4 linked regions of the Schizosaccharomyces pombe genome follow. The gene in region 1 interacts genetically with each later gene. Each region holds a gene or a part of one and is shown in the gene's direction. Other genes may lie near its edges.

The links.
Region 2: mutations in arg3 (region 1) and cdc37 together harm fitness more than expected from each alone (negative genetic interaction), as found in Schizosaccharomyces pombe (one large-scale study listed by BioGRID).
Region 3: mutations in arg3 (region 1) and ppk8 together harm fitness less than expected from each alone (positive genetic interaction), as found in Schizosaccharomyces pombe (one large-scale study listed by BioGRID).
Region 4: mutations in arg3 (region 1) and saf4 together harm fitness more than expected from each alone (negative genetic interaction), as found in Schizosaccharomyces pombe (one large-scale study listed by BioGRID).

What each region holds. Positions count from the first base shown.
Region 1 is NC_003424.3:2,269,755-2,277,648, forward strand, and holds arg3 (ornithine carbamoyltransferase Arg3), read left to right. Parts: upstream 1-4,166; 5' UTR 4,167-4,257; coding exon 4,258-5,241; 3' UTR 5,242-5,762; downstream 5,763-7,894. Other genes in the region: arg11 (N-acetyl-gamma-glutamyl-phosphate reductase/acetylglutamate kinase), read right to left, coding at 265-2,922; cmb1 (cytosine-mismatch-binding protein 1), read right to left, coding at 5,824-6,423; idn1 (gluconokinase), read left to right, coding at 7,445-7,894. UniProt on the Schizosaccharomyces pombe protein: Ornithine carbamoyltransferase involved in the synthesis of arginine from glutamate via ornithine and the urea cycle.
Region 2 is NC_003423.3:1,827,099-1,835,440, forward strand, and holds cdc37 (Hsp90 co-chaperone Cdc37), read left to right. Parts: upstream 1-3,988; 5' UTR 3,989-4,090; coding exon 4,091-4,113; intron 4,114-4,173; coding exon 4,174-4,200; intron 4,201-4,277; exon of another isoform or gene 4,278-4,529; coding exon 4,530-4,540; exon of another isoform or gene 4,541-4,582; coding exon 4,583-5,922; 3' UTR 5,923-6,032; downstream 6,033-8,342. Other genes in the region: clathrin light chain Clc1, read left to right, coding at 65-754; mdl1 (peptide-transporting ATPase), read right to left, coding at 1,562-3,742; SPOM_SPBC9B6.11C (CCR4/nocturin family endoribonuclease), read right to left, coding at 6,069-7,351, 7,481-7,706; anaphase-promoting complex TPR lobe accessory factor Apc13, read right to left, coding at 7,790-8,197. UniProt on the Schizosaccharomyces pombe protein: Co-chaperone that binds to numerous kinases and promotes their interaction with the Hsp90 complex, resulting in stabilization and promotion of their activity.
Region 3 is NC_003424.3:745,636-754,080, forward strand, and holds ppk8 (serine/threonine protein kinase Ppk8), read left to right. Parts: upstream 1-3,846; 5' UTR 3,847-4,294; coding exon 4,295-4,360; intron 4,361-4,477; coding exon 4,478-5,953; 3' UTR 5,954-6,037; coding exon of another isoform or gene 6,038-6,165; 3' UTR 6,166-6,204; downstream 6,205-8,445. Other genes in the region: bifunctional carbamoyl-phosphate synthase/aspartate carbamoyltransferase Ura1, read right to left, coding at 1-399; ime4 (mRNA (2'-O-methyladenosine-N(6)-)-methyltransferase), read right to left, coding at 1,508-2,767; nucleoporin Nup45, read right to left, coding at 6,038-6,165, 6,205-6,496, 6,553-6,661, 6,708-6,794, 6,838-7,444, 7,521-7,575; iss1 (fip1-like pre-mRNA polyadenylation factor), read left to right, coding at 8,069-8,206, 8,252-8,304, 8,352-8,445.
Region 4 is NC_003423.3:1,784,224-1,792,603, reverse strand, and holds saf4 (splicing-associated factor Saf4), read left to right. Parts: upstream 1-3,557; coding exon 3,558-3,818; exon of another isoform or gene 3,819-3,863; coding exon 3,864-4,112; exon of another isoform or gene 4,113-4,167; coding exon 4,168-4,557; 3' UTR 4,558-4,686; coding exon of another isoform or gene 4,687-4,961; 3' UTR 4,962-4,996; downstream 4,997-8,380. Other genes in the region: rps1402 (40S ribosomal protein uS11), read right to left, coding at 1-220; RNase MRP subunit, ribosomal protein L7-like Rpl701, read left to right, coding at 389-517, 959-1,585; PPR repeat-containing protein Ppr2, read left to right, coding at 1,922-3,220; SPOM_SPBC18H10.09 (zf-CHY type zinc finger protein), read right to left, coding at 4,687-4,961, 4,997-6,126, 6,190-6,272; ubiquitin hydrolase Ubp4, read left to right, coding at 6,356-6,463, 6,524-6,667, 6,856-8,380.

The sequences.
Region 1 (7,894 bases):
ATCTATACCATAGAAAGCAACTTCAAATCTGTTTATATAAGTTTTGAAGAGTCTGCGACGCACAGACAGAGGAATTTTGTATAACTGAACAAGAACTAAATTAAAATGTGTGGAAACTTAAGATGGTACTCGTACGCGACTTACTGCTGGCTATTTAATAGCAAGGATTAATGCATTTAGTTCAAAATATTTGTAACAAAAAAATATCCAAATGGTACACAGAAAGAATAAAAATAACAAAAGAATGGGCTACAAAAAATATAATCAATCCAAATGGATACCGGCATATTCATCGTAACCACAGGACAGATTGAGATTCTGGAGAGCTTGAGTAGCAGCACCTTTAAGTAAATTGTCGATAGTAACTACAATGACTGCACGCTTTCCAGAAGAGTGCACACCAAAACCACCAACTGAAACATGATGCTTGTGTGCGTTGTCCTTGACCAAAGGTACATCTCCTTGAACATGAATTAAAGGCTCACCATTATAACGGTCTTGGTATAAGTTACGAAGCTCACGGGAAGTTATACTTTTCTTTAACGGAACATTAATAGTTAAAGTAATTCCTTGGAACCATTGAGCAACGTGAGGAATAAAGGCGACAGGTTGCTTTAAACGATAAGAAATTTCACGTTCATGGATGTGATCAGTTAATGAGTAAGGTATCAAATTGTTTGTCAATACATTCAAGTCATTCTTCGGAGAGGGCTTAGTGCCAGCCCCAGAATAACCAGATACACCAAAAATAGAGGGCTGGCCGTCAATCAAAGAGAGTATGGGAGTTAAACCGACTTGCGATCCAGTAGCGTAACAACCAGGATTGGAAATACGTTTCGAGTTACGCAAAGCTTCACGGTCATTTAGTTCAGGAAGACCGTACTGCCACGAGGGCTCAAAACGGTAGTCCGCACTTAAATCAACAATGACACTTTTACCATTTGCAGACGTTAAAGCATCGACATAAGGTTTGCATACACCGTTGGGTAGGGCCATGACCCAAGCATCAACCGCTCCCTCTTCCTCTAATTTTTTAACATCATCTGTGGACAAGTTGACATACTGAATTTCTTTCTTAGTGTAGCCAGGAAGTTTGGTGCCTTCCAACTCACGAGAAGAAACATGAGATAATTCGAGATAAGGATGAGTGTTAATCAATCCAATCAAGTTCTTTCCGGTATAACCACGGGCTCCAAGGAGAACGACTTTTGCTGGCTTCGATGAGACCGCCTTCAAAGGTTTTTGGGTCTTCTGAGCCTCAGCAGAAAAAAATCGTTTTCCACCCTTTAAAAACAAAGAACGATTCATTTTTTTGTTTTTTGAAAATAAAGAACTAGTTGAGTAACTTCGTTTTTGATTGATCTGTGAAGAGGAAGGGTTGTTGGTGGTAGATGAAGCAGTAGGGGGTTTAGTGGATTGGGTCTGAATGATAGCATCGGCAAATGGCTTGTCAGACTGAATGAACTTGGAGATTTTATTCAAATCTTTTACACCGTACCAAAAGTAGTAAAAATTATTAGCAAACAAAGTACCTTCGCTTTTAGAGAAGAACCATTCCAGATTCTTGGCTGAAGGTTGAAGACGCCATAGCAAAGAAGGGAAGTCTGCTTTTAATGTTGTTAATATGCTATCAACAACATTGTTTAACCAATTATTGTCGGCGGCACCAAAAGCTAAGAGTACTGGCAAGGATGAGTCGGTGGTGTCGACAATAGCAACAGATTCATTGAAAGAGTCACTATAAATACGAAGTTTTCTGTCTTTCAGAGTATCCTTGAACTGTTTCAAGCTTTCACTAGGTGCGGCTAAAGAATTTTTTTGAATGATCAAATTTTCTAGAGCAGCGTCTGGAATGCTATCCAACGAGTCATGTTTGTTGATGACAAAACCGCGACTAATCAAAGTACCAGCGCCAGATTCCGTAAAAAGCTCTTTTTGCAAATCCTTCGTACTAATAATGGCTACGGAAGATGTACGGGGAAGAGTATCAAGTAACTCTTTGATTTCTTTGATTTTGAGCTTCGTACCATACTTGACCCATGGTTGCTTCATGAGGCCATCGTACTCCCTATCCAAATAGATGCTGCTAATTTTTTTCTTTGTTTCACCGTTGATAAGTCCACCTTTTTCATTGAGATAGACCACCTTTAGAGGCTTCAATACGCGAGCAAGCTCACCAGCAGTAATGTCGGCGTTGACATTCAACAATTGACCAGAAGCAGTTTCGGCCATAGACGTAAGAATAGGGAGGGTTCCAGCACGAATACTGTGTTCAATAGGAGCTTTGTTTACCTTGACAATCTTGCCAACATACTTGTATTTTTCTTTGTCGAGATACTCTGCCTGAAATACACCACCTGTAATGGGACGAGCACGAGTTCCCAACTTTTCCAAAGCATCTACAAGTTTCGCATTTTCCTCTAAGAAAACTTTACGAGCTACAGAAAGAGTCTCGGCATCGGTGATTCGAATACCATCGCTATACTCGGGTTCAACATTTCTGCTGGCAAGAATTTTGTTTAATTGGGGACCAGCGCCATGCACAACGATGGGATAAAGACCCACATGATTCAAAAAGGCAAGACTTTGTGCCAATGTGTCTAATTCGTCGGTGATAATGGCACCACCAACCTTGATAATAGCGAAACGTTGAGCTTCGAAGGAAGTAAAGTATCGTAGGTATTGCTCAACTTCACGACGGCTTCCGATGGAGGAAAGAATTCTAATGATGGCATCACGATCTTGTTCAATTGGTTTCGCGAGTGGGTTTAACGGTTGTTGTTGACCCGGGGCAAAACTGCCTTGAAAACGTTTGCTTGCAATGACTGATGCATTGGAACATAGTAAGCTCCTTTTCGTACAGTGTTTCGCTCCATTCCGTACAAGACCGGACTTGACAATTTGTTGCAATTCAATAAGCATTGCCAAATTCTAGTGATATTCTATGATTTACTGTAGTTGGTAGAAGGCAGTTTGGTTGGTTTCAAAATTGGAAAATCATTTGCTTCGTAAACGTAGCTATAATTCGTTAAAATTTGATTGCTGTATCTAGGGATTTGCTCTGGAGATAATCACTCAAAAAGATGAGATCGATAATGTTACTTGTTGGCTGAAAATTACATCGGAAACCAACAGTTTACATGAAAGTGCTGCAAACGTGAGACATGGACATTTAATGAATTAAAGCTATATAAATGACACTGTAAAAGCAACTCATTTGCCGACAATGAATCTATTTGTATATACATTATTTAATACTAGTCCTAACTGACACAGTACAATATTCATTATTTCTATGCAAGCCAGTTCAATATCTTGATTTATACATGAAAGCATTCTTTTGAAACAATATTTTGTTTTCTATTTGATTTCGCGTTGAATAGTCCCAATGACCCTGATGAGACAAAAGCACTTATCATAAAATTTATTATCTAAGATAATCTCGTTAAAAAAAAAAAAAAAAAAAAAAAAAAAAAAAATTTGGCAAGAAGCCCTTCTCTTTCGTTAAAACTTGTTTCGCTTTATGCAATACTGTAAGTGTAAGCTTGTAATATAGCGAATCTGTGAACTCATTGTTCATTTCATGGTAGTTGTTGATTTCACAAGCATGCTGAGTTATCAATATAGTAACACAATTGGTTTTATTTCAGCTCGCTTGAATATAGTGTCAAGAGATAATTGAATAAACAAAAAAAATAACTACACGTTTTTTAGATACATTTTATTTACAATGTATTGGTTCTTTAAAGAATGGGTGGTAAATAAAAAAAATATTACAAGGTCGAAAAAAATTCATCCCTTTTCATTAGTTCTATAATTAAATGCTAAACCCATGAATATTCTTTTACTGCTAATCAATTAACGATTTTGGTATTTAAAAGCTATTGCTGATAAGTATTCTGACGTTCTGTATCAATATTACCATGAATAACATAAGAAAAAGAAAGGAAATAGAATGTTTATGAGTAGTTTTTAATTTTTGACTTGTTTTATCATATTTCATCAACGTACTAGCTTGTTTGCAACTGAACTCTAGTGTACGATAATGTAAAAATTTTCCATCTCGTCGAAAATCCGCATACGATATATTACGGCGCCAATCTCGCAGTCTGAGAGAGAACTAGATATCGGCTATATGCAATCTCACCCTGAATATCTAAGAAATTACCAGTAACTTGTGGGTTCCTTGTAGTCGACTACAAAAACCGTATTTTTGATATATTTAGTCGAGAAGAATTATTCAGTTTGCAATTGAAAATGTCTTTCAAAAAATTTCCTCGTCATTTACTATCCATTCGTGATCTTAGTCGCGGAGAGATTGTAAAGTTGATCGATCGGTCTTCTGAAATTAAACAAGCTTATAAGCAGAATTTTCAGAATCGCCGTTCTGTTCAAATGAGTGGTTTGTCGTCTCAGAATGTCGCCATGATCTTCAGTAAGCGTAGCACTCGTACTCGTGTATCAGTCGAAAGTGCTGTCAGTTGCCTTGGCGGCAATGCCATGTTTTTAGGTAAAGATGATATCCAATTAGGAGTGAATGAGTCTTTATACGATACTTCAAAAGTTATATCAAGTATGGTTTCTGGTATTGTTGCTCGCGTAAACAAATATTCAGATGTTGCTACGCTCGCTAAACATGCCTCTTGTCCTGTTATTAATGGTCTTTGTGACACGTTTCATCCTCTCCAGGCGTTAGCAGATTTACTCACTATTAAGGAAACTTTCAAAAGCTTTGACGGTTTAAAAGTTGCATGGGTAGGTGATGCCAATAACGTTTTACATGATTTGATGATTGCAAATGCCAAGGTTGGTATTCATACTAGCGTTGCTAAGCCCAAGGACGTCAACGTTCGCGACGATATTTTATCAATCGTTAACGAAGCTGCGAACGAAAACGGTTCTACTTTTGAAATTGTTAACGACCCCAAGGTTGCTGTTAAAAATGCTGATATCGTCGTTACCGACACTTGGATTTCTATGGGTCAAGAAGCTGAGAAGGAACAACGTCTTAAACAATTTACAGGATTCCAAGTCACCGGAGAGATCATGAAGCTTGCCAAACCTAGCTGCAAATTCATGCATTGTTTACCCCGTCATCCCGAGGAAGTGTCTGACGAGGTATTTTATGGAGAGAACAGTTTAGTTTTCCAAGAAGCAGAGAACCGCAAATGGACCACTGTTGCTGTCTTGGAGGCTTTGCTTGTCAACCGTGGTGAAATTCTTCCTCCTGCCTCAGCCTAAACTGAAATCCTTAATTTCATTTTTATCTGGGGAATGTGCAAACAATGCCAACTTTATAATTTTTTTTATTGGGCGTGCAAATTGTGATATTCATTTTTGAAATTTTATGTACTTTGTTTCACAAAAAGAAAATTGACTTTTGAGAAAATTTTTTAATTGACAATTACTTTTCAGATTTTTTATGCGCAGGACACAGGCTTCTAAAGACGTACTTATACGTTAAAAAAGGGGATGGATCAATTTGGCTCATTAGTCCAACAAGCTTTGTGTAAAATTATTACCCGCTTAATGCTATCCTCTTAACTAGATATTTCAAGGTATCAAGCAATCATAGTATTAAGCACTATTATATGCAAAATACAATTTAAAATTAATAGAAACTACAAATAAGCGCAACACTCATAAGGAAAAAGCTTTGGGACAATAAAGCTTTCGTCAATGCGGAATCTACGACAGAAAGAAAACTTAGTGTAGGCATCGAAATTTATTATATTTCAAGCATGTATGCTAGTAAAATAAAACGTAAACTCATTGATTCAAGAAATCTATAGAAAAAAAAGATCTGGGCAAGTAGAGTGTGCATCATCGAAATCCGGCTTCTTTCATAAACTTATCGTATTGCTCTTTAAGTGCTTTGCTTTTATCAATAAATGGCTTTTTCTTGTCTTCCGCCAATTCCTTCCACGCCTTTGATGCATTTTGGGTCTCTTCAACGAGTGTGGAAATGGCTTCTGGAATACCTAACTCTTGACGTAGCTTGGGATTGTTTCGAAGCTCCTTGTAAAAGAGGATAAAAGCAGAAGAAGGTTTTTTAGGAACATCTGGATGACGAAGTCTGTAATAGCGACTGCCCGTGCTGTGAGCCTCCTTCGAGCGACGACGATTTTCACTATCGATTTCTGTAGGTGTAAAGGATCGTAGAGTCTCCATAAAACGCTTTTTCTCAGCATCGAACTGCTCCTGGAGTTTGTTTTTATACTTTTGGATCTCATCGGCAGTCAAAGCTTTGTATTTTTGACGAATCATCTCAAAGCGCTCAGGACCATTACCAGCACCTTTTGTTTCAACCAACATTTGATTCCAAATGGTTTTCAGCCTAGGGGGGATCAACTTCTGTAATCCATTCTTTTCGGCAGAAACGAGAGTAGTGTGAAACTGGCGTATTCTAATTGCAAATACCATTTTGTGAAAAATGATCAAAGATAATGGTGCTTGGTAAGTTAGGTAAGGAGGCATTGCGTCAAACAGACGCATTCAAGTACTGAGTAAATATCGGGTACGTAATATTGTACAACAGACAAATGAGTAGTAAAAAGACGGTTTACTCAATTTTTAATAGCATAGAATAAAGGCGTTAAAAGCAGTTTGTTTGTTTCTTGTAACCACAAAGGTAGTTTCTTTTTCTAAGTGAAACACTTCGACATTCAACATAACAAAGCGTTGGTCCACAGAATCAAAAAGGTACTCCAAAATGAAAAGGAAACAAACGCATCTTCATCTCTTGAGCAACAAAACAGCACTCATTTCTATACTTTTTCCAACCTTCCTTATATACCGTACCTCCCAGCACTCTCATATTCATTACTCACCATAGACTATATTGTAGCTGTGTATTTAGTATAAAAATGTTTCAGTGGAATCGTTGCTATTCACTATTCATTACAGTGTATTCTTTCAGCACGTTATTTTAATTTAATAAACCGAAATAACATGCCCCGGTTCTTCTTTTGTCATATTGGCATCTTGGGTTACTGAAGAGATGGGGTATACGTTGCTTCAATCTCATTAGTTCTAGAGCCCCTCTATACCCCGATTTCTAAACGTCAATCCAACTTAGTTTTAAGGCTGTCGGCCTAATTTAAAGTTCCTTTCTACAGCTACAAAATTTGTATTAAAGGGACGAGAAGCCCCCGGGTATTTGTTTGTTTTTAATAACATCTAGTGTGTATTAACTTTTCTTGGCTGTGTTTAACCAAGTCGTAAGTGTCTGCATTTTTTCGGTATTTCTTGCCGCTTACCACAAACTATAGTACCTTTGAAAAGTTGGCTGTTTTCCAGTAAATTTGCATCGCTTTGTCCGAGAAAGGAGCCTTTTAGCGCCATTTTGACAAAGCTTGTTTAAAACATCTCGTTCGATTACCACCAACGTGTGATTTTGTGATTGTACCCAAACTTTGAAATCCTCACAAATAATTCGATAACTATGACTGTTACTCCCATTAATCCTACTAATCAGCCATACAAATATGTATTTGTAGTCATCGGCCCTGCCGGTTCAGGAAAAACGACGATGGCTAAGGCGGTATCTGAGAAATTGGGTTTTGAGTATATTGAGGGTGATGATCTACACCCCAAAGCAAACATTGAAAAAATGAGTCAAGGCCATCCTTTGAATGATAACGATCGTTGGGGTTGGTTGCATAACTGCGGAGGTGCTTGTGCCATGGAACTTGACAAGGAATCGATAAAGGGAGTTGTGTTAACCTGCTCGGCCTTAAAGCGTAGTTACCGTGATATCCTTCGTAGCTCTTTGGAGCATCGTCCTGCAATTTTGCGCTTTATTTATTTAGCCGCTTCGAGAGAAACACTTATTAAAAGAACGACTAGTCGCAAAAATCATTACATGAAGGCTGACATGGTTGAAAGTCAATTG
Region 2 (8,342 bases), on another chromosome or scaffold:
CACTCAGCAAAGCTGCTGTCTACTTAGATGCAGATACTACCACTTTCAACCTTTACCAACCACCATGTCTCAATTTCCGGCTTTAGAAGACTTTGACGACGGTTTGGTTACCGCTCCTGTTGATGACTCTAAAAATAATACTGATTTCTTGGAACGCGAAAAGTTGGCACTTGGAGAGGATGCTGGACAATTCGAAACACCGGAGGATAAAGACGCGTTGTTGAATTTTGAAAATGATTCGGAAGCTGAACAAACTAGATTTGAACAGAACTTTCCTCCCATAGATGCTGAAATGCAAGCCTCTGGTACCTTTTCCGCTCCGAAAGCTCCTTACATGGGTCAAGCCGAAGTTCATCCCCCTGAAGACGAAAGCGGTGACCCCGAACCCGTTCGCAAGTGGAAAGAGGATCAAATGAAAAGGATCCAAGAAAGAGATGAGTCTTCCAAAAAGTTGCGCGAATCTAATATCGAGAAGGCCCGCAAGGCTATTGATGATTTTTATGAGAATTTTAATGATAAGAGAGATAAAGTCATTGCCAAGTCGAGAAAAGAACAAGAAAAACTGTTGGAAGAAAATGAAAGCAAATCTACTGGAACTACGAGCTGGGAGCGTATCCTGAAGCTTATTGATTTATCCGATAAGCCTGAGGCTCATGGCCGCTCTACAGAACGCTTTCGTGAACTTCTCATCAGCCTTGCAAAAGATAGCAATGCTCCTGGTGCTGCCGGCACAACTGTATCCTCTTCTTCTTAGAGATAAAGCTCTCCAATCCTTTTTGCTTTCAATGCTTGCACACTACCCTTCCTTTTGACACAATTAGCAGTGTTTAAAATAATATCTGACTAAGAATTTTTTTTATAATTTATACTTTTTTAAGTATTCAGTTCTCATATAAAATTCTTTGTCTACCTACTACAGATTTGTAACTATACTTTTTCTTGGATCTGTGCTTTGATATTTAGGGTATGTCTGTTTATTCGTCCTTCCCTTATATTGCGTTTCATAACGGTATGCCGTCTCTTGGTGTACTGCTTACCGCTTTTTATGCTTGTTGATTTTGTCGACTTTCCACCCTTTAATATGATTTCTAAAATTATTTAAAAATACTTGAACCTTTTACCGTTGTAGCAAATACTGAACGTCCGTACTGTAGTTATTTCATTTAATGTGATTTGTATCTAGCTTCACTTCCATTTGCCGCATAAACTACTGGACGATTTTTCATTGTCGAGATTTACAAGCGTAACGAATTTTGTGCAATTAATATATATTCTCTCTCTTTTAATATTTGCTCCTTTCAAACTTAAGTTTGCTATTGGGGTTTTAGATTTTACAGTTTCTTCTCAGTTGATATTGCTTAAAGGAACAATTTCCGCAGCCCTTTCTTTAAATGCCAAACTAATTACGGAACTGAATATTATTAATTTGCTAATCTTATATGCCAGCGAAGAAAAAAAAGAATAGAGTACCGATGTATTTAAAGATATGATTGAAAATTGCGTCTTGAGAGTACGCATGAATAAATTAATAAAACGAACAAGAGATACTTCACGTTTACGATCAAGGTTCAACTTTTCCAAGCTGCCATCTCATTAACTTGTAAAAGTTGGTACCAGGACGAGACAATCGTTCAAAAGACCCTTGCTCCAAAACTTTCCCGTCTCCAACAACAATTATTTGATCAGCTCGGCGAATAGTAGCCAATTTGTGAGCAATCGTAATGGTAGTCATACTACGATTATGCATCAAAGATTGAATCGTTTTATCCACCATTACTTCTGCTTCACCGTCTAATGCTGAAGTAGCTTCATCCAAAATTAAAAATGCTGGATTTCGAAGAAGTGCCCTAGCAATTGCAATGCGTTGTTTTTGTCCCCCGCTTAGTTGTAAACCACGAGTCCCGACTTGCGTAGACCATTTCTCCGGGAAAGAAAGCACAAAACTACAATTCGCTCGTTTGGCAGCATCTTCGATTTCCTCTTGAGATGCGTTAGATTTACCGTAAGCAATATTTTCGCCAATTGTACCAGAAAATAAAACCGGTTCTTGTCCAACTAAACCAAAATGACTGCGCCATTGATGAACATTATATGTAGAGATGTCAACTCCGTCAGCTAATATTTTCCCACTACTAGGTGCGTAAAAGCGCAAAAGGAGCTGTGAGATGGTGGATTTTCCACCGCCACTAGGTGCGACTATAGCAACATTGGTGCCTGGATGAATGTCGAAAGATAAGTTATCAAATATTGAAGCTGAAGGACGAGTTGGGTATGCAAACCCAACATTTCTGAACGAAAGTATTGCCTTTCCGACTGTGACTGGAACGGGAATCCCAACGGTTGGAGCTATCTTCGGTTTAGCATCTAAAAGTTCAAATAACCGACTAGCAGCTCCCAGACCTTTCATAATATCAGTAAAACATCCTGATAAGCCAACAATGCTTCCACCGGCATAAACGGTATACAGCAAAAATGAACTTAGCTGTCCTACAGTTATATCACCTGCAGCAACCATTCTTCCGCCTAACGCAAGAATAGCGATTACAGTTGCGTTCCCAAGGAACCCTGTTGACCCGAAGAAAATACCGCTAGCAAAAGCCTCTCGCTTTGCCAGGACAAAGAGATTTCGAATGTAATCGTTGTAACGATTTACTTCTTGTCTTTCTCCTAGAAAAGCCTGTGTAGTCCGAACATTTGCGAGTTTCTCTTCTGAAACCCTTGTTAAATCACCGAGAGCATCTTGTGTAGTCCTGGAAAGTTTCCGAACATACTCTCCATAAAAGAAAGCTCCCAATGCAATTGGGGGTACAATTAGGGACATATATCCAGTGAGTCTCATGGATACGTAGAGCATCATCCCTATTCCAGCAATTGCACTAACTGAGCTACGAAGACCATCACTTAAGTACATTGATAAAGACTTACCGACAATACTCGAATCCGTCGTAAGACGGGATATGAGATCCCCATGTTTATGAAAGTCAAAAAATGCTCCATCTAATGACATGCATTTAGCAAACAAGCGTGCTCGAAGACGACTGACAATTCTTTCACTCAGTAGACGCAAGGTGATGATTCTACCAAAGTTACAAGCTGAACCAAGGAAAAATAAACCCAACAAACCAATATAAAACGTACCAGAAGGAATTCCCATGATATGCGTGACAGAAGAATCGCCTGACGAGCCAGCGTCTAAGATTTTGCCAACAATGTAGGGAATGGACATTGTAACGCCGGAGGAAACTAAGAGAAGAGATCCAGCAATAAAAAAATTCCATCCCTGACCCCTTGCTAGTGTGAAGAGACGAAAAACATTGACTTTCTTGTTTGGTGTTTGTAATGTACCATTTGTATTTATTTTTGAGATATCCTGTGCTTGCTCATCTTTTGATGGAACTGTAGAATTATGTCGCACACACAACTTTAAAAAAGCAAGTGATCGTATAGGAAGAATAGATCTAGAAAAAGGTAACGGAAAACTATTTTTAAAAGGATATATCTTAGAACCACTTGAGGCCTTTTGAGATAACGAGTTTAGGCTCACATTAACCTGTGAAGATAACTTACTGGTACTATAATATTCTGCATTTGGCGTGGGAAGTAATAGAGTATTCGTACTTTTGTAAGCCACGTTGTTTTTCAACCAAGTCAACGGTACTAAATAGTTTGCTCGAAATATTACGCGTTTATTGTAGCAGTGAGCGAATGGTACTCTCGAAAGTCCAAAACGTATTGGATCCATCCATGAATGTGCCTTTCAAAGGAAATGAACGGAATCTTTTCGAAACGGGGTTTACACAGGCTTTTGGCAACAAAAGGTGCGCAAAGTATGTACAAATAAATTATTTAATATATACTTTTTATTAGTATTCGTTCTATCAAATTTTCTCTTCTCTACGGTATTAGTAGTTTCGATAGAATTTCCACGAAGTACTCTACATTCGCATAAGGTAGGTGCTTTGGTACATACTAAGATTTCATTTACCTTAACACAACCACTTCTCTACAACAAGTCAAATCGACGAGAATAGCAAAGACATTTGTGTCTTTTACTTTTTTTAAATTTCTTGAAATTATAATTTGCTTCGAGATGGCAATTGATTACAGCAAGTGGTAAGTTTATTGATAAGTTTGTTTTTAAGTAGGCGAATATGAAGTTAACAGAATTGACAGGGATAAGCTAGAACTTAGTGATGACAGGTATGAAATATACGGTTTGGAGAGGAAATCGGCTCTGTAAGGACAATGGTTAAATACTCTACATGATGCCTTTGATTGGAGTACAATAAAAGAAGTCGAAATGAAATTTCATTAGTAGGATGGAATAAATTCAAAAATAAAATTCAGACTCATCTTTTTATCATTTTGAAGGACATGTTGGGTTCAAAAAGGCAATCATTAATTTGCAGTTTGTATATTTGATGCCAATTGGGTTCTTTTAGCTAATAAACAACCATTGTCAAAACATTCCTTTCTTTTCCTTCTTCATTTATTTTTCGTTTTGATAAATTCATGCTAACAACATTTAGTGACATTGAAGGTTTGTTACGGGTTGTATTCATATTAAATTAACCACATGCAGTTCATCCAAATGTCGATAAAAAGTCTTTTATTAGATGGCGCCAACGTGATATCCACGAAAAACGGGCTGTTAGAAAGCAAAAAATGGAAGATATCAAAGGTGCAATGGCGATGAATCGTAGACTCTTGTCTCGCATCTCCGAAATGGAGACTGTTCTTGAGAAGGAATCTCCTTCGGATCCTTATGTTTTATTGGGTTCATTTTTAGAGGCAAAAAAGTCTGAAGATATGGATAGTGCCATTCCTGGAGGCATGTCGTATCATCATATGCTTATGTCTTTATTAAAAGTAATTAAAGATGCCGAAGACACTACCGAAGAAAAATCTATGGATGATTCGGATAAATGCTTGAGACGATTAAAGTCACACAAAGAGCGTCTTCTGAAGTTGCTAGAAGATGCACAAAAGGAGTATGATACTTTAGAGGCTGAGAGTAAAAATTACATCACTTCTGAAGACTTGCATTTGGGCTTTGATTCCACCTATGTTCAGAAAAAGGAGCCTGAAAAACCTAAAAAGACTAAAACCAAAAAGGAGACCATCCAGGTCATTGAATCTCTTAATAACCCTACACCTCCTACTGATTTTCCCGGCGCTAAAGAGCAAGCTTCTACTGGTAATGCCCCTAAAAATCCTGTCAATGAGAATGAGTCGGAAGATGAAGAAGGGTTGTCTCTTTCTGAAGATGGTAAGAAGTTTGCCAATATTGATTTTGGTGATTATTCTTCATCGGAAGAGTTTTTGAAAGAACATTTAAATATCTTGGCAGATGAGGAAGAATCTGATGCTATTCTTTTGGAAGCCTTTAATGCTGAACTAGAAGGGAAGCCGTCCTTAGCAAAACAATATGTTCATCAAGCCCTTTTGATCAGCTATTGCAGACAGCTTGGACCAAATGGTTTATCAATATTTTTTCAAAAAATTAAAGACCCAAATCACCAATCTCAGCGGCTATTTTTAGAGGATGTTCATAATACATATGTCCGAATCCATGAACGTTCTGCTGCCATCAGCAAAGAACAAGCTGAAAGCGGTGAAGGAGTAGAACAAATCCAGCTCTGTGCAGTTGATCCTAATACGAAACTTTCCATCACCATCCCGGAGGCAGGTTCTACTGATCCAGAGACACAAAAAGCTCGTGCAGCTTTTGAGTCTTTTCCTCCTAACCTCCAAAAAGCTCTTATGACCAATGATTTAGACAAGATTAATGTAGTTCTTGGAAAAATGGCAGTTGAAAATGCAGAAGAAGTTGTGGAAAAGCTCAGCAGTACTGGTATGTTGAGTATCGAAGAAGGAATCATCGACACAACGAAAGGTGAGACTATTCCTCAATTGTCTTAAATTTTTCTGCTTACGGGTGTGCTTTTAGTAAGCGAAAACACCAAAGTTACATGTTTGCCGTTGGCATTTTTAAATGGATAAACAACAATGAAATTTTATTTATTGATTTACCATACCTTGTGTGTACCGTATAATAAAATAAGTATTTAAACAATTTGTACATTTGCCATCAAAGCAACGTGGTCGCTGGGATATCTTCCTTCTAAAGGCTCCGCTTCCTTCATCTCACTGGGTAAAGGCACACGTAACAGTGCCTTTAATTTTATACCTTCAACGACTTGATTTTCGGGAGTTTGAAGTGAGGTATCACGATTCATAACAAATATGTAGTCCAAATGGCCCTGGTAAGCATGAGCCCAATTGGTAAATGCTGGATGATCAAACGTATTTTTTGCATTTTCTGGGTGAACCAGTTTATAGCCCACTGAATAAAGACTGAAAAGTACGGGATTTTGCTCGTGCTGCTGATAAAAAGAACGGTAGTGAGGTACATAGTCATTTTGTACATGCAAAATTCTCTTTTTTGGGGTAGAAGCTGTGGATTCGGGAACACTTGAGGTAGAAGAGGATTGACATTCTTCTTTGTCATCTTCATTGGAATCATTTTCTGTCTTAGTACTAGCATTTTTTTCTTCCAACTCAGATTCCCCAAATACGTAATTCATACTACGTTCTATAATGTCAGTAGCCCTTTGGCAGATGGATAGAGGGCGGGTAGTTAGCGCAGGAAAGTTGGTATCGAACGGTTCAGTGTTGAAGTCACCAGCTATAAAAACAGGCCAAGAAGGATGACTTTGTGCCATCTTGTTTACTTCCTTTACCAATATTGCACCTTGGCGTAACCTTTCGTAAGAGCCGTAAGGATGCCAAAATAAATGTGTAGTAGCCAAGAACAACCCTCTGCTCGGGTCATCTACCCTTTCAAGGCGTACACAACAACCGATGTTCTTGGTGTTCATTCTACCTGGTAATTCATCATGATCATCGTAATAAATAGTCAAATCTTGCACCTTTTTGAACAAAGAGGATTTCCAAAAAATCATAATTCCATGAGTTTTACCTTCACCTTTTATGAAATGCAATTCATAACCCAATCCACCTAATAACTTCTTGTAGAAATTAGGAACAAATTCAGCATCAACTTCTTGCATACATCCCAAAGTTGGTGAATAATAGGTTAATTCATTAGCGAGCATTCGTGAGCGATTTTTCCATTTTAATGCCTCACCACTGTGTGGAAACATTGAACGACGAATATTTGTCTGAGCAAGTACGTTGTAAGTCATAATAGTAATATCCAATGCAGACTTTTCAGTTTCAAACGGTGCATAATTAGGGATGGAGAGCATTTCACGCTTTATAAAGTCCGTATTGAATTCGGGTGGAGCATTGCTTGGTGGAGCAATAGGTTTTCGAGCAGCCTTCTTAGCTAATAATCAGTTAATAAAATTGAGCAACAAAAAATTAAACAAAGGAGTAGAGATTCGGTCTTAAAAAAAGTTTCACAACAACCTTCTTATTGTTGCTCGACTAGATGAACGAAAATTTTTTTTCATACCCATTTTCTCAAGTTTTTTTTGGCGTTGTTTCTCTATGTATTCAGGCGTTACGAACGAAGGAGGGCCTTTAGCTGAGCCTTTTTTCTTAACGGGTATCGAATCTGCCATCTTGTTCTTTTTCTGATCAAAGAATGATATAGCAAGTTTGGATAATCTATAATCAGTGTGGAATCGATCGATAAAAAACTTCAAAGTCAATGTACACGTTTTAGGACAAGTGTACATACAATGACTTTTGAGTAGACTTTATTTAAGTTTTCACAGCCGAAATGGATTAACGACTGTTGGTTCGTACAACCTCAGGTATATCATCTAAAATACCGCATACTAGCGTGCTCTCCTTGATGCCTTCTGTTCGCTTCAAGAAAAGGAGCCATTGGAGCTTCTTTGACTGATTTGAAAGGATCTGTTTCAAAATTATCTTCAATTGTATTTTTACCCTCGGCATTTGAAGAGCCTTGAATGAATGCAAAGGCATTAACTAAATCTTCGAGTTCCAAATCTTTCCAAGCCGGTTCATGCCTAAGCTGTTTGTTTTTCATTAAGATTAGATTTGCACTAGAATGTTGAATAGTCATCTCATCTTCTGTAACAGGTGGTAAGTGTTCTACTCGCACTTCGACATCGTCAACTGGAAGTCTATCTTTTAGCCAATCCGAGGCAAACAAAACTACTCCCGGTTTATTCATATGAACATAATTGTAATTCGAATCCATTAATTGTTTTACTGATTCCAAGTAGGAGACTTATGGTGCTTTTATACGGTTGGTGTTATTGGAGAAGTCGGTGGTAAGTGTGTAAACAAAGCATTTAGCAGCAAAGTCTACTAGTTGGGGGGAGGGAGATCTTTCCATGAAAATC
Region 3 (8,445 bases), 1.5 Mb from region 1:
CTTGGGTAAGCCAGATATCTCGTCTAGAATACGACGATCGGGCACACCATAATTACCCACTGTGGGAAATGTAAAGACCAAAATCTGACCACGATAAGAAGGGTCGGTCAAAGACTCAGGATAACCGACCATACCAGTCTGAAAAACTAATTCACCGGAGACAGAGTGATCAGCTCCGAATGAATAACCTTGTAAAACACTTTTATCTTCCAATTCCAAGGCCATTAGCTTATAATCTTTCATCTCGCCATTCACAGAGTAGAAGGCAGGAGATGGAGAGCAGGTGGGCTCTTTAGGATCATTTTCAGATGGTTTAGGACCATGAGTCCTTGGCATCCCCAGAGCTTCACTCTGGACGAGTGGAAATGATGAAGACAATGAAGGTAGCAATCCGGACATCGCTTATATCAACAATTCCACAGATTTGAGGCTTAAGACTAGCGATTCCCAGATATTGCTTCTAAGGAGTGGTTGGTCTCAAGAAAGAATTTAAAACCTGAGCAGAAAAAAAAATACTTACGCTTTCGTCAAAGCACAATGTACACTAAAATTTTTACAGATAAATAAAAAAAATTAAATAAATCTATTCTAATTTTTAGAATTCAGTTTCTGTGTTAGGCAGTTTCTAACAATCCTATAGGACGAGAACTGGCAAATCCGAAAGAGTTGTTGGAAAATTTTTTGCTTGTCGTGGATTAACCAGTAGTGCGGTACACTGTGCTACGGTGTATGTTTAGGGTATGACATTTCACTTCCGCTTTTCGGTCTTCGAACCAAGGCATTTTATGAGCGGTCTACTTGATACAAAATTAAAGATTTATATTGCTTACCAACTAACTTGTAAAGGAGAATATTTTCTTTTTTTCTCTGAGCAAATATAAAAGTTTCATGTATGACGCAACCTGTTTTAAAAACACAACGCCATCTATGATTAAATATTGTTATTTTGGTTTACGTAATTTTTCAGCATCGGTATCTACATAACACAGTACTTAGGATATCGGTAATGAAGGGATAGCAGCCGATTTGTGCTTAATACATTAGTCAATGAAAGCTTGGTAAAGCCAGTAAACATATCAACAGCTCATCATAAGAATATCAGTAGAAAAACAAAACGATGTCGACCTATGGTATATTAAGAAAATTTAAAAGTAAAACCTTCGCAATAGTTTTTTTCTCATCACGCCGTTTGAGCTTTTAGCAATAAAAAGTCGAAAGTGGTTTTTTATAAAAAAATTGTATCTTTGGTAGTTTAGTATTTTAGGAACATTAGTAGTGAGCTTTTCCTAATAAAGTTATACTACAGTGAATGAGTTTGAGCTCTTATAGCATAAAGTAGTTTACTCATAAACCATCAGGTAACGTTAAAACGTATTGATTTATTCTACGTCTTTCAGTAGTAATTCGTGATCTGAGATATCTTAAACAGAGAATGGAAGAAAAAATAAAACAACATTTAAACCATGGTCAAAAATTTACCACAATACGAACAATGTAGCATTTTCCATCAATTGTCTGATGACCAGTATAATTCATGCATAAACAACAAAGGTTCCCTCCCCCATGTAATCCAATTAGGTGTGAGACTACGGCCAAAAATTTCTAAAACAGGAAGCGATTCATTTGCCGAACAATTAAACCAACGTGAAATGAAAGGTTTTAATGATGGTTTCCTGGAATGATAATCTGGAATACCAATTATTGTAAACGTTGGAGGGATTTTATCACTATATACAGATGTATATTCTGAAGTAACTCCAATCAAAAGCTGTTCCCAAGGTTTGCGCATGTTTGAATAAACATCAAATAATGGTTCGCCAAATGCCGTTATTTTAAGCCATGTCCATGTAGAGACAAGCGTTAAATTCCATTTTTTAAAAAGCACTTTTTTAACAAAATTTACATACTTTTCCTTATTTGTGCACCAAACTGCCACGACGCCGGTTTTGCTTAACGATTCCTGAATTGGTAATGCTTTTAAATATCCAAGGTTCCTGTTCACCTTATAGACAGAGCTCCTAGCTACAGATTTATTCGGCCATGGAGGGTCTATAATTATGCATTTGGGTTTTTCTAGATGGCCATCAATTGCTTCTAAAAGGATTTGCGCAGTTTTCTCCACGTCACCCATAATAAAAGAGGAACGAGCAGGGATGTAGTAAATTGAATCCCTACAATTAGTTTCAGACGATTCAGTAATAACCTTTGATCCCTTCAGCTTTAATTTTATAGCGGACGCTCCATCATTTTGGACACATTGTTGATAAATCTCTTCCAATCCAAGTTCAACTGTATCTTTAGACTTTATAGTTATAAATGAATATGACGGTGGAATAGTATTCAACATTTTCAACCATTGCAAGCACTGATCCTCAAACTGTATAACCGGTGCTTTAACTAGTACTTTGAAAATGTCTGAGTACCATTGCACTAAAGGAGCATTTTCAGCTTGAAAATGGATTTCTGATGCACTAGTATTTGACCTGTATACGATATCTTGAAATTGAACATGGTGTGATTTATCGGTTGATTGATTGTCATCCAAACTGCGCAACTGTAAAGCACGACGAACTCGCTGAAGGCTTTGCAGTACTTGCCCTACAGTGCCTTTGCCACTGTTTTCATAATCCGAAGTTGATTTTTCGGGGAGTAAATATGGCTTCACGACAGGCTTCGTTCGAGTGGGCAAAATATGTTTATTAAATTGCAGAGATGTTGGCAAGTCAATGAGACAACTAGTGTCGTCCATGTATAATATACATGGCATTAAAAATTACACGAATACCGAACCTCAAACAATCGTGATAAATGAAATGCACAAGGACACCGCTGAATTTCGTTATAGCAATCTATTAAATTAGTAGCTCAAAAAATAGCTTATGTGCGCTCAACTCAAAATAAGAAGTAGCGAGTTGAGTTAATTAAATTCAGTCGGATAAGAATAATTGAAAATACCGCTCTCGACGCGTGACAAACGTGTATACTTTATCGAAAGTTACTCGATAGGTTTCGTCGTACCCATCAACTGGAGTGCAGTTAAACTTATTATGCTTAATACCAAATATTGAAACAACAAATCTCTATTGATATTTTAAAAACTTCCATTTAATGATATTTTTTAAAACTAATTTACGAAAACCGAATCTAGTTAACGTAGTTCTTTCAAACTAATACGGAAACATTGGTGTGCGATTTTCGATACTCCCCACAATAACATTGAACGATATAAAAAATCCAAGCTATTAAGAAGTACAAATTTTTCTATTGAACGAATTAGGTAATCAAAGCATTCATAGCTTGCAAAAACCAATGTTTTGTGGTTAGTCAGCCTTCAAAATGGTAACAAATTTATATGCTGCCAGTACGAAATATTAATTACATAAGGAAAACGATATGCTTAGTCTTACAAATACACACCTACCTTATCTCGCCTTAACGTCTCCACTATCAAGTAAGCAATTGCTGGTGATGACTAAATATATTTAATAACAAGCATCATAAAGATCGTTAGGATAGGAATCTGCAAAAATCGGAGCGTAAATAAATAAGCAGTTAATGGCGTAATGTTTTCACAAAATGATAACCACACTATTATAAAGCCATTACTTTTTTGACGAGATAGCATCATACAATTTATTGATAGGATTCAAGCAAAGGACCTGCAATCAGTATATAAATACGCTTCGTTTTTATGTTCAATTCGATCTTAAATTTTAGTTTGCCGATTCTATAGAACATTTTGGCATTGGAGTTTATGAATTTTTAAAAAAAACAACGCAGTCCGGCATTCTACGGTATTTGCTTTCGACGTTAATATATATCGAAACGTGGAACCATATTTTATTCACATTAATTTCCTCATCGAACCAACTCCGGTTTATCTCCTCGGACATTTATTAGATGAACCTATTCGGCTCGTGAGATTTGCTATATAAACATTACTAAATTGGGAATTGTCGTTACCAATTTTTTTTGCGATCAGGATCGACATTGGGATGCATAATCGTTTCGCTTCGTTTTAGTTAAACATTTTTTTATTTTGCTTGTATTGCATAGACATTGCGCGATTACAATTTTTTTGGTTGTTTACTTATTTGCGGTGTTTATTTTATTTCTTGTCAGTCATTATCAGGGAAGCGGTATTTGTTTGATTTTCTTTCCCGTCATTATAATCGGTTTCACTTAATTTCTGGATTCGTTTTATTTATTCTCCTTAATTATCACTTAATTCATTAATATATCTTTTTTACTTTTTTTTTGGAAAGAAGCTTTTACAATCACAATTCTTAGAGCAATGGCTGTGATCACGGAAGAGAACTCTAATAATTTATTTTGCACAGATTCATTGGAATTAACCTCGGTATGTTTTCTGCCTTTAATTTTTTTAGTTATCTTTTTTTCTTTAAAAAAAAGAATAGAAAAAAATCCTTATTTTTCTAAATATTCAAATATGGTGTACGCTAACTAATGATATTAGAATAAACAGGATGATCAAGTTATTTCGAATTACTTAAAGCCCGTCCGTTCATACCCCTACATTAAATATTCTCGAAGTAGCTTATTATTAACGGCATCTACAACTTTACCCGAAAACTTTGTGATTTCATTTACCAACTCCATTGAGAGTGAAGAGAGCGATAAATCTGATTACCTTCTCGATCATGCTCATAGCTTACAGGAATTATCGACTACTCACTCATCACTATCAAGCACTTTAACATCTATGTCGGAAGAGTCATCTTCCACAGAATCGAAATTTGCTACCCTTAATGATGGCATAAATGGTGGTAATCCATATAGCAGACTTTATCGAAAAAATCCATCTTCTGATCCAAACGATATCCCACCTCAGTTTCACTTTAAAAAGAAGTCTAAATCATTTTATAGTAGCATGTATGATAAGATGAAGATCAGAATTAATATCCTTCCGAACGGAAACGACAATTTTATAAAAAAACGGAACTCCGGCTTCGCTCTGGCGCCTATTGCTTGCTACAATCATACTTCTGATCTTCGAAAATTGCTGAAACACAAAGTAACTGGTAGCAATGCTAGCATCTTTAAGAGAATCAACCCGAGATCAAGAAAGAGAGTTGTAAACCCGGAATGTTCCGTAACTGATACACCTTATGGAAAGTTAAATAATGTCATTGGGGAGGGAGCGAGCTCTTTCATTCGGGTCATTAATGATCGAAACAAATTGCCAATTTACGTTGCCAAAGTATTTCGTCCTCCATTAGATACCTCATTACTGCGCAGGTATGTACGTTATTTCATTGCAGAGTACACTTTTGCGTCGACACTCAGGCATCCCAATATCATCAAGGTATTAGACATTATATACAAAAGGCATACTATTTTACAAATAATTGAGTATGTTCCTTATGATCTTTTTACCTTTATTACCAAAGGTCATTGCTCTGCTTTAAAAGCTGATCAAATGTTTTTTCAATTGTTAGATGGCGTGGCTTATATGCATTCCCTTGGCATTGCTCATCGTGATATAAAATTAGATAATATTATGCTCGATGAAAATTTAAATGTTAAGATTATTGATTTTGGTACTGCTTTTGTTTTTCATTATCCATTTGAATCAACCACTCTGATGTCTGATGGTGTAGTCGGTTCAAAACCATATGTTGCTCCCGAAGTTCTTACTCAGAAACCATATGATCCGAGCGCTGTAGATGTTTGGTCTTGTGCAATTGTTTACTGTTGTATTGCTTTAAAGAGATTTCCATGGAAAGTGCCGCATACATCGGATAAACGTTTTAATTTATACGTTACTCAACGAAATGACCCTAACACGAAAAGCCAATTGATAGAATCTTTACCGATGAACTCAAGAGATACGATTTATCATATGCTGGACATTGATTTTAATACAAGATGTAGCATTTCGGGAGCACGAAGCACTACATGGATGCAACAAGTTCGGAAAACTCTAATCTAAGGAGAATTTGTCTACTTTAGAGATTTTTATCTATTTATTTTTTTTATGATGTTAAGGATTATGAAGTCCCTTTAATGATCGCTATTAACTTATAAAGGGCAAGGACGTTGAAGTGTTCACTTGTAGACGCTTTACTTCATCGTGAACTTGAGCAAATCTATTACTAAGAGCCATGAATAATTTGTGCTCCTCTTTGATAGTTTTCAGTAATGCTAGATAGTTAATACAAGTTTTACAAATTAAAGGCATACCCTCGGGACTATTATTCTGTGGCGTAGTCTCAACTTGCTCCAAATGTTGTTCAAGTTCACCAATAGTGGCAGCATACAGATCTGTACGTTTCTTAGCGTTTTCTGTAAATTGCTCAAAGTAGTTCATTAGGGGATCGTTTGACGCGAAGGGATAGGTTGCGCCAGGTGTTTTAAAAACGTCCAAAATACGTGAACTAATGCGAGCATTCGAAGTATCTTCGTCAACTACACGCTTCGTAGTTTCAATTTCGTCGGAATCAATTAAAAGTGCAGTCGAGACAGAAGATAAACGCTTTATTTTAGTTAGAAACAAATAAAACTTGGAGATAATAGAAGGAAATAACTCACTCTCTGTACTTCAGCGACATCATTAGGGACGGATTCAACCAATTCGGAAACAGTCCCCAACTTAGTTTGTAGTTCCTCTGCAAGTTGGATTTGGCTAAAAATTTCTTTGCTACGGACATGATTAGAACAAATTTTGTACATAAGGTAACACATACTCTAAGTCATCTAAAAATTTTTGAGTATTAGCGTTTAAGCTCGAGTATCTCGTCGTTGCATTAATAGCTGGATTAGAAGGGAGTTGCCTGTTTTTTTGTTAATGAAAAAAAAATTTAATAATTAACTTACGTTGTTGACGGTTGCTGCTGAGCTGCAGAAAAGAATGGAGTAGTTTGAGTATTATTGCTTAAACCAAAACCAGTTGAACCAGACGGTTGTGTGGATTGACCAAAAAGGCCAGCGGAAGCTGGTTGTGTAGAAAATTGACCAAAAGTCGAAGTATTAGGGCGGTTTTGATCAAATAGACCTCCTGTAGTTCCGATGTTAGACTGTCCGAAAAGAGAAGTATTTGCTTGAGCAGGCTGTGTTTGCGATTGTGTTTGATTTTGACCAGATAATCCAAATAATCCTCCAGTAGGGGCTGCTTGAGCAGGTTGTGCTTGTGTTTGATTCTGATTGAACAAACCACCAGGTGCTTGAGGTTTAGTAGTGGAAGCTCCAAACAGGCTGCCACCAGGTGCCGCTTGAGGGTTTTGTCCAAACAAATTTAGGCCGGGGGTAGTAGATGTAGCGTTTGGCTTATTTCCAAACAAGCTTCCACCAGTTTGAGGTTTTGTTTGACCAAAAGCTCCTCCTGTTACGCCTCCAAACCCAGTCGAAGCGGGCGTATTGGCCTGCGTATTGTTACCAAAAGTATTAGAAGAAAAAAGTCCTGTGCCTGCAGAAGTACCAGTATCTGAAAAGGTTAATATATGAATAAGCACAAAATTCGAAAAGTAAACTTGAAGACTTGTTCACCTAAAGAAACATACTTTGGTTTTGGGTTCCTGTGGACCCAAATGAGGGTGTTTTATTTAACCCGAACATTGCTTAAAGTATTAATACACGAATGTCCCTAGTGTAAATACCATGCAAAGATTATCATGAAAAACCACTCAGGTTATCTTTTCTAAAAAGGGTAATTGTAGAATCACAATCAATGATTAATATTATAATTAAGCAAAGATGGAAAAGATTAGTTATCTAAAGTTTCAAATTGAACTAGCTTTCAGGGTATCGTATAGTCAAATACTGCTGTGTTCGCAGAGCAAATTCAATTGTTAGTGTTAACTACAATGTGGCTCACTAAGTTGGCTTTCACGAGTGTTGGTCTGTTTCAACCCGTTTTAGCGCAAAATATTTTTACCCAGGTAAATGAAGTACGCTATGAAGTCCACTAGTATATACCGTACAACTCGGTACAATGTTTAGTGGACTAATGGCCCTAAGTGGTAAAGAAGAAGGAATCCATAATTTCAGGTGCGAGACTCAGTCAATGAATGGACTTGCCCCATATACATTTTAGAAGTGGGTTTTTACTATGTCAAATGCTGATCAGCACATGGATGTTGATGAGGATGAATATTTATATGGAGAAACCATAGAGGAACGGAATGATGGAGTTACAGTGTCAAATGCCAAGTCACCAGAGCAAGCAAGTGAAGAAAGCGATGATTCAGTAAGATTTCAATTAAAATGATACTGCTAACTGCTAATTTTGTAGGATATTGAATTTATCATTGAAACAAAGCCAGGTGAAAGAGCAGAACCATTAGGGTATGTAAACCAAAATAATTGATTTCAGATTATACTAATAATGTTAGTGGATCGATTGCAACATTAGGTTCAACCCGACCTTCTGCTAAACCTCAAGTAGAGAAAACTGCTGTCGAAGTAAAAACTACAGAACCCCAAGAT
Region 4 (8,380 bases), on another chromosome or scaffold:
TGCACTTAGCAGCAGCGTCTTGGGCGGCTAACATAGCAGCGTAAGGAGAAGACTCATCACGATCAGTCTTGACCTTCATACCACCGGTGACACGAACAATGGTTTCCTTGCCGGTCAAATCAGTGATGTGAACGAATGTATCATTAAAGGAGGCGAAGATGTGAGCAACGCCGAAAACAAGCTCACCGGAACGGATTTGAGGGCCAACGTTAGTAGCCATTTTTCGTGGTTAGTTTTTGGTAACTGCGATATCTCTTTTGTTTTGGGCTTCTTCCTGTGTAAACTAAAGGAACAGTCACAAATTTGTGTCGAAACTTTTGTGACTGCTCATGGGAAAAGTTGACCACTAGTCTTTTCTTACCAACTTTACCACCAGACATCCACCATCATGGCTGTAGCATCGTCAACGGTCCCCTCAAAGGAGCAAATCTTTGCTCCTGAGTCTCTTTTGAAGAAGAAGAAGACCCAAGAGCAGTCTCGTGAACAGCGTGTTGCTGCCGCTGCCGAGAAGAAAGCTGTAAGTGTTTTGTCTATGGATATTTGTCTTTGGATGGATTGAATAAAGTACAGAAATCTTTTGAATGATGAAGAGTTTATCTATAAAGTACACTACAGATTGTGTTTTTTCATCTAGATAGAACCCTCCCACATTCATTTTGATCGGTTTGCAAGGGTTTTCACCTCCCAAAAATTAGTCAAACGCTTTAGCCTGTCATGGAATTTTTTATGATTGCTTTATTTTTATAAGCAATAATAAAGCAGATAATTGAGAAATATGAAAAACAAGATGATGACAACAAATTTCGGATAGCTAGCTTAGGCTGTGCGCGTTCCACAATTTACCATCTTTCGGGACTGATTACTGTTTTTCTACTTTTCTCTTTATTTATTTCTTTCCATCTAAATTACATCCATTCTAATTTCACAAAATTTCTACTGTATTAACTGTTATGTTTAGGCTCAACAAAAGAAGCGTGAGCTCATTGCAAAGCGCGCCGAATCTTACGATGCTGAGTACCGCAAGGCCGAACGTGAGCAAATCGAACTCGGTCGCAAGGCTCGTGCTGAGGGCAACTACTACGTCCCTGACGAAACCAAGTTGGTCTTTGTCATCCGTATTCGTGGTATCAACAACATTCCTCCCAAGGCCCGTAAGATCATGCAATTACTCCGTCTTATTCAAATCAACAACGGTGTCTTTGTTAAATTTAACAAGGCTACCAAAGAAATGCTTCAAGTCGTTGAACCTTATGTTACTTATGGTATTCCTAACCTCAAGACTGTTCGTGAGCTCCTTTACAAGCGTGGTTTTGGTAAGGTCAACAAACAACGCATTGCTCTTTCTGACAATGCTATCATCGAAGCTGCTTTGGGCAAGTACTCTATCTTGTCTATCGAGGATTTGATTCACGAAATTTACACCGTCGGTCCCAACTTCAAGCAAGCTGCCAACTTCATCTGGCCCTTCCAACTTTCTTCTCCCTTGGGTGGCTGGAGAGATCGCAAGTTCAAGCATTTCATCGAAGGTGGTGATGCTGGCAAGCGTGATGAGCATATTAACTCTCTCGTTAGAAAGATGCTTTAATTTGGTGTAGATGTTAAAAATAACCATATCTTTCCTAGCTTTGACAAAATAATTTACAACAAGTAGATTTAGTTGTTTTGGTCATTAGGTGTTATTAGTAAATTCATCGCTAGTAGTTACTTTCATTGTAATTAGCTTTGTTAACTCATTTTTGCAATCTTTTGTGTGCATATAGTAATTTTACCTCGTCAAACAGCACTTTTACTCAACGTTGTACATAAGACGATGGTTGAACTAATGATGTAGTGTCTTCATTCGTAACAACTCATATTTTATAACTTACTTCCTACTAACGCGGTTTTAATCCTAAACTTGAATAAACTAGTGGTTTGTTTAATGCAATTCATTAAAAGGACATTTCCGCGAAGGGCCTTTGTCGATTTGCTCCTAAACCGCTTCTGCTTGCGGGAATTTGCAACCACGTATAGTGTTTCAGTAAGTAATGCGCGGAAATTAGTACGAAAGCGCCTTTTAATCGCTGATGCTTTGAAATTCAAGGAGCAAGTCAACAATCTAAATGAGTTTCGAAATAAAAAAACTAAGTCATCCTTAATAAGAAACGATGGTTTCAAACTGGCTAAAAATGTATCTTCGTTACTTCAAAAAGAGTCTTTAGAGAAAGCATTGCATTTACTGTACGAGAGATCAAATGCCAAGAAGACGGTTGCCTATAACCTTGTACTACAATATCATTTAGCTAAAGGGCATTACAACGCTGCTTGGTCTTTGTACAATGATATGAAAAAGCGCCAACAAAAACCTAGCGATCATACATACTCCATTCTTCTAAAGGGATTTTGCGATGCTATTGAAAAGAATAAGCAAGGAAATTTTTCTAAACTACGTGAATATAGTGAAAAGGTAACAGCTAGTGCTCTCAAGGAGTCTAATAATGTCACATCCAATTTGCATCACATACGAATTATATCCAAGTGTAGTCTAAAGCTTAAAAGTATGGTATTGGTGTCAATGATTATTCCATCCATCAAACAAACATTGGATTTCTATAGTGGATCTCAAATTCTTCGACTTTTGAACGACTTTTCTATGTTCAATCCGGAACAACGTGAAGAAGTGTTAAAGATGGGGACGAATCTTTGGAATTATTTTGTCCTTGAATGCCAAAAGAAAGGAATAGCAGTTGATGAAAGTCTTATTTGTTCCTTTGTGAAACTTCTGGCTACTAGCAACTCGCCTCAAGTGAGAAACGTGGGGTTAAATATTCTTACAAAAGTGATGGGATTGGAATATCAGATTTTCGAAGATTCCAACTTGCGTTATCCTTTACCCCCATATTGCGATTGTACTTCAAGAAGTTTGGTTACAGCATTACAGGTCATTCGTCAAATACAAAACGGTGATTTGTTAGCAAGGTATTGGAAGTATTTTGAGGAAAGTCACAAATTTGATTTAAATCTTCAAGTATATCATGAGAAGCTACGTAACCTTGTTCAGCAGGGCCAAGCAGCTGAATGCTTAAATACCATTAAAAGGATGTCGCATAACGGTCCTTTCCCTACTCAGCAGACATTTTTGATTGTCTTATCATTATGCAAAAGGCCGAAATTTTATAGCTACACGAAAAGCTTCTTAGACTTGGCCAAGAAATTGAACGTCCCCGTTGAAGCAACCTAAAAATATCATCAAGTGTTTAATAATTCATCGATACCTTTTTATGTCATTTATAATTTTCTATTAATTTATAAGAAATGAATTCAAATAATCGTCATGTAATTTATTTATTTGTACATGTTTACCTTGTCCGTTTGAAACTGTAGAATGGAACCCTTATTATTTTAACGTCAATTTAGCAAACGTAATTTAAAATTGTTTGTTGAAAAGCCATGAATTAACTAAGAGTTATAATTATGTTTCTGTTGCATGCCACTGATTTAGCCTGAACTTCACCTAGACGTAGTATTAACTTAGGAACTACTGATTTTGGGCATAAAGAGCTATATACTCACTAAAAATGCAAGGATTTAATATGGGGAAATATATTCCCCCGGAAGGGCCGAATGCTAAAAGAAAATTTGATAAATTACGAAATGTAATTCGGTTTGAAATGCCATTTCCAGTGTGGTGCAACAATTGTGAAAATATCATTCAACAAGGCACTAGATTCAATGCTGTTAAAAAAGAGATTGGCTCATACTATACTACGAAAATATGGTCATTCAGCTTAAAATGTCATTTATGCTCAAACCCTATCGATGTACATACGGATCCTAAGGTACTGGTTTGATTAATTTAACAAATTTGTTACTGACATAAATAGAATACAGAATACATCGTTGCTTCTGGAGGCAGAAGGAAAATTGAACCTCAAGACATCAATGAACGTCCTGCAAAAGCTGAAAACGACGAAAAGGTGCCGTCTGATGCAATTGAAGCGCTGGAAACCCAATTAACTCAGCAAAAGTCAGAAAAGCATAATAGTTCTGTAATAAACTTTATATATGAGAAAAATGAAAGGCTTTGGTCGGATCCTTTCGTTTCTTCTCAGAGGCTGCGAAAACAGTTTCGGGTAAGAAGAATTTGTTTTGCGTTAAAATTTTCATATTAACTAACCCATAACTTAGGAAAGGAAAAAAATTGAAAAAAAGCAAGAAGCTAAAGATCTATCTCTCAAAAACCGTGCAGCGTTGGACATTGATATATTACCACCCTCTTCTTCTGACAAGGATAAGGCATTATTGTTGCTAGATAACGAATTAGGAAAGAATAAATTTATAAGGAAATTAGATTATAGAAGAACATTAATGCCCTCTTCTAGAACATTTTCGACTTTTGCAAAGTTTGCTGAGACTTCATTCGCAAAAAAAGATCCTTTTGCTCGAAAATTTGTCCCTTCCGAGAAGCTAAGGAGCGAGCAAAGGAAATTTCCTACAGAAAATTTAAAGGGAGAGAAAATCCTTGAAGATAATTCGGTTTCTCTCGTCAATTATGAAGTGAGTGATGATGAAGGATAATTATTTTGGTTAAATACGAAGACTTTAAAAGTATCTTCTATCAAAAGATTAACTACTTGTTATTCATTAAATTTTTATACAATATGGGTATCTAATGAAGCAAAAAAATATGGATGTCATGCAACCCAATTAATTACCGTGATGCTTCCTTTTGTACTTCCTTGGATCCTTCCTACTCATGCGAACGCGATCGCGCATTCCTTTTCCTCCCTCCCAGTAGGCACTGGTTTGTTTTTTCACAGTCATATTTCCACAATGGGGGCAAGTTGCATCCTTTTTGTAGAAAGATTCCATGGCACAGTACCCACATATTATTCGATTAGCATGCTCAAATGTATGATTTTGATCAGCGTCATGACATTCATCACATGGATAAACACGATCACAACATGAAAAACGAAACCCTGATTGTTAATTATGAATTTTATAAACGACTTACATCTGAATGATTTTTTGTAATGTTCGCAAGCACCATTATTGGGAAGTGGCAATCCTTTCGTAATGTTTAAGTTTTGTTTTTGCTTCTTTTTTGCGCTCACCTTCCCGCCCATTGAACTTTGTCGTTGTTTTAACAAATGAAATTCGGTATCTTGATGTTCAACCAAGATTCTGTTTTTGCATACTTTACAAAACTGTAGCATGGGCTGCATGGAAGAAATACCTTTAAAGGATGTTATCTGCTCATCAACACATTCCATACAAGAGACCTGACAGTCAATGGGCATCACGTCAACCGGTACACATCCTAAAGTATGGAGGATACCTAAACGGGCATTATTTGGGTGAATCACACCAGGCACCCAAACTAATCTTAGAGTATTACTACACTTATTGCAAACAAGAGAAAATTTTGTAGCAATAGAAATTTCACTTCCATAATGGCACCGAACACACTTTATGACCAAACGTAAAATTGGTGCTTTGAGAGTACCGACATTAGTTAAATGCGGATTCTTCCATTCTAAGCAGTATTCGTTACCCAGAAGCTCTGTGTCTTTGCTCTGAATGTCATGATCGTTACTGTAAGCATCCTGTGGTTCATTAACATTTTGTAGATCATCTTCTTTCCCATCGTTTCCTCCTTTTGAATAAATAATTTTTTTTGGCTTTTCATCATTGAATAACTGTTCAGAGCCAGAGATGGTAGTTTTTGTTTGGGTAGTATTCTGCTTTTGACAGTGATTTTGACCACGCAGTACTTCATAGTCAAGTGTAGTGTTCAAATGAACCCTCTCTGATAGAGGTCCTTCAAGCTTATTTGCCAACGGCTCTAAGTCAGTTGGGGTTTCTGGTTTCTTAGAATCGACTTGTTGAACCATCAACTCACGCTCTTTTGTATTGCATGTCTCAAATGATTTCCAATTTTGTAACAAATAATTAAATAAACTTGTCAAAGTTGTTTTCTGATTTTGAAATGCCGTTTCAACGTACTTATTCATTGCCGTTTGCATGAACTCTTGATTTTTTTCAAGTAATACCGATATTTGAAACGGTTTATCTTTATTTATAACTAAAGTAATCAATCCATGATCACTGGGCAAGGATAAGAAAATCTCATTTCTTGCCTCTCTGGTACTAGTTAATAAAGATGTTTACATTAACTAACCCACAGCTAACCTGCTTAGTACTTACATAACTTCCGGATTAAGCCTTCGCCGGAATACTTGTATCTGCAAGTCCCAATTTGAATCCTTCATAGCTTCAATTGAAACCATAATAACCAAAAAAGGCTATAGTCTTGTAGTATTTGGTTCAATTCAGGTTAAGTCGCCAACACAAATACTCGGTTCTTCCTCGGATGTCCGATGATTATTTCGACAGACTATTTGAATTAGCATTCGTTTATATTAATGAAGATGAAACGATTCAAAGCTGTTCCTTCAGAGGACAACGCTGGCTTGAAGAGGTATGTCTAATTTTTCCGTGCCGTTTATAGTAATGTGCTTCAATTACTAACAGTTTTGAGGCCCAAACTCTTGAACAAAAAAATTCATTACTCAAAGCATACTATTACTATTTAAAAGCACTAAAACTTGCTTACGAAATTCCATGCCGATTCGAGATTTCTGTTAAGTCTACTCATTATGGAGAATTCAAACAGTTCCAAAAGGTATCGACATTGTACATAGTATTTTTTTTAATGCTCAAAACACGAAAATTTTGTATTCAAAGCTCCCTAGCCTTCTCGTCAGATAAATTTGATATAGTTGACGAGACTGTACTAATTATGATCTTTGAAGCAAACTTAATTTATTTTTTGTTCAAGTTACAATCTTGAATACTAACATGTCCTTTTAGTTAGCAATTCAAGCCGTTTCCAAAGCCTTTACTATAAAAAGCAAATTAGCGGTGAAGCATTATTTGCCTGTAATTCAAATCTCTGACGCTCTTTCCCTATCAAAAAAATCATCACTTAAAGTTCTTTTTCTTAATTTCTATTCCCAAGAGTCTTCAAAGGGTTATGTTTTTTCGAAGCACACGATTGCCATCCCAATATCCTGTTTGCAATCGATGGATTCTTCAAAAATATATGACTTTTTAAAATCCGCACCTTTTCATCCAAGCATGGTTATTTGTTACAGTTTGGAAAGATACTTCGAAGACGTTTCTTTGGCTTACAAGCTTTACTCGATGTTACGTTCGTTGAAGTTGGATCCTCATTTCATGGAATTGGCGAACCCTAAGAAAGTTGATAGTTCTTTATCGTATGAAAATTATCAGCCTATAGGTTTAACGAATTTGGGTAATACTTGTTACATGAATTGTGTCCTGCAATGTCTTTTTGCGTGTAAGGACTTGACTATTCCTATGTTACAGGGGAGAGGATTGCTTCAAAATATCAATACCAAAAATCCATTGGGTACCGGTGGAAAAATCACATCTGCTTTCTTTTCCTTGCTTCAAAGTGTCTTATTAAACCATGGTCAGAGATCAATATCTCCAAGGAATTTTTTAGAAATTGTACAGTCATTGAATAGAGATTTCTCCATCGATGGCCAATGCGATGCTCAAGAATTTTTAAATTTCTTTCTTGATAAACTTCATGAAGATTTGAACTCCAATGCATCTCGGTCTCCGATAGCACCGTTGACGGAAGATCAATTAAGTGCCAGAGAAGAACTCCCATTGTCCCACTTTTCACACATTGAATGGAACTTGCATCTCCGGTCTAACAAGAGTATTGTGGTCAACAATTTTGTAGGTCAACTTTGCAGTCGTACTCAATGTATGACATGTGGCCGCACATCTACTACTTTTGCTCCCTTCACATCGCTTGCGATACCGATTGACGATGTCTCCCATGTAGTAAGCCTACAAGAATGCTTATTAAAATTTTCAGCTCCTGAACTCTTGCAAGGGCATGATGGATGGCATTGTCCCGTGTGCAAGGTTCAAAGGTCGGCAAAAAAAGTAATTATGATTTCGAAACTACCTGAATATTTGATCATACAAATTCAGAGATTTAAAATATCCGTAATGGGTCGTAAAAAAATTGATACACCACTTGGATTGAGCTTACAGATTCCAAGTAAAATGCTGGTACCACCGAGTTTCCAATCGGGAATTGGTTATATTCCTAGCAATTATAACCTGTTTGCATTTATCTGTCATTATGGCCAGCTCGAAAATGGACATTATATATCTGATGTACTTTTTAATAATGAATGGTGCCATATTGATGACTCAATTGTTCGAACAGTGGGCGGTATTACTGACTTGAGAGAAGATTTCTCCTCTTCCTACATTCTTTTTTATAAACGCTCAAGTCTGTTGGAGGAGTTTGAAGATAAGTGTCCCAAAATGACTTTGAAAAGAAATGTTA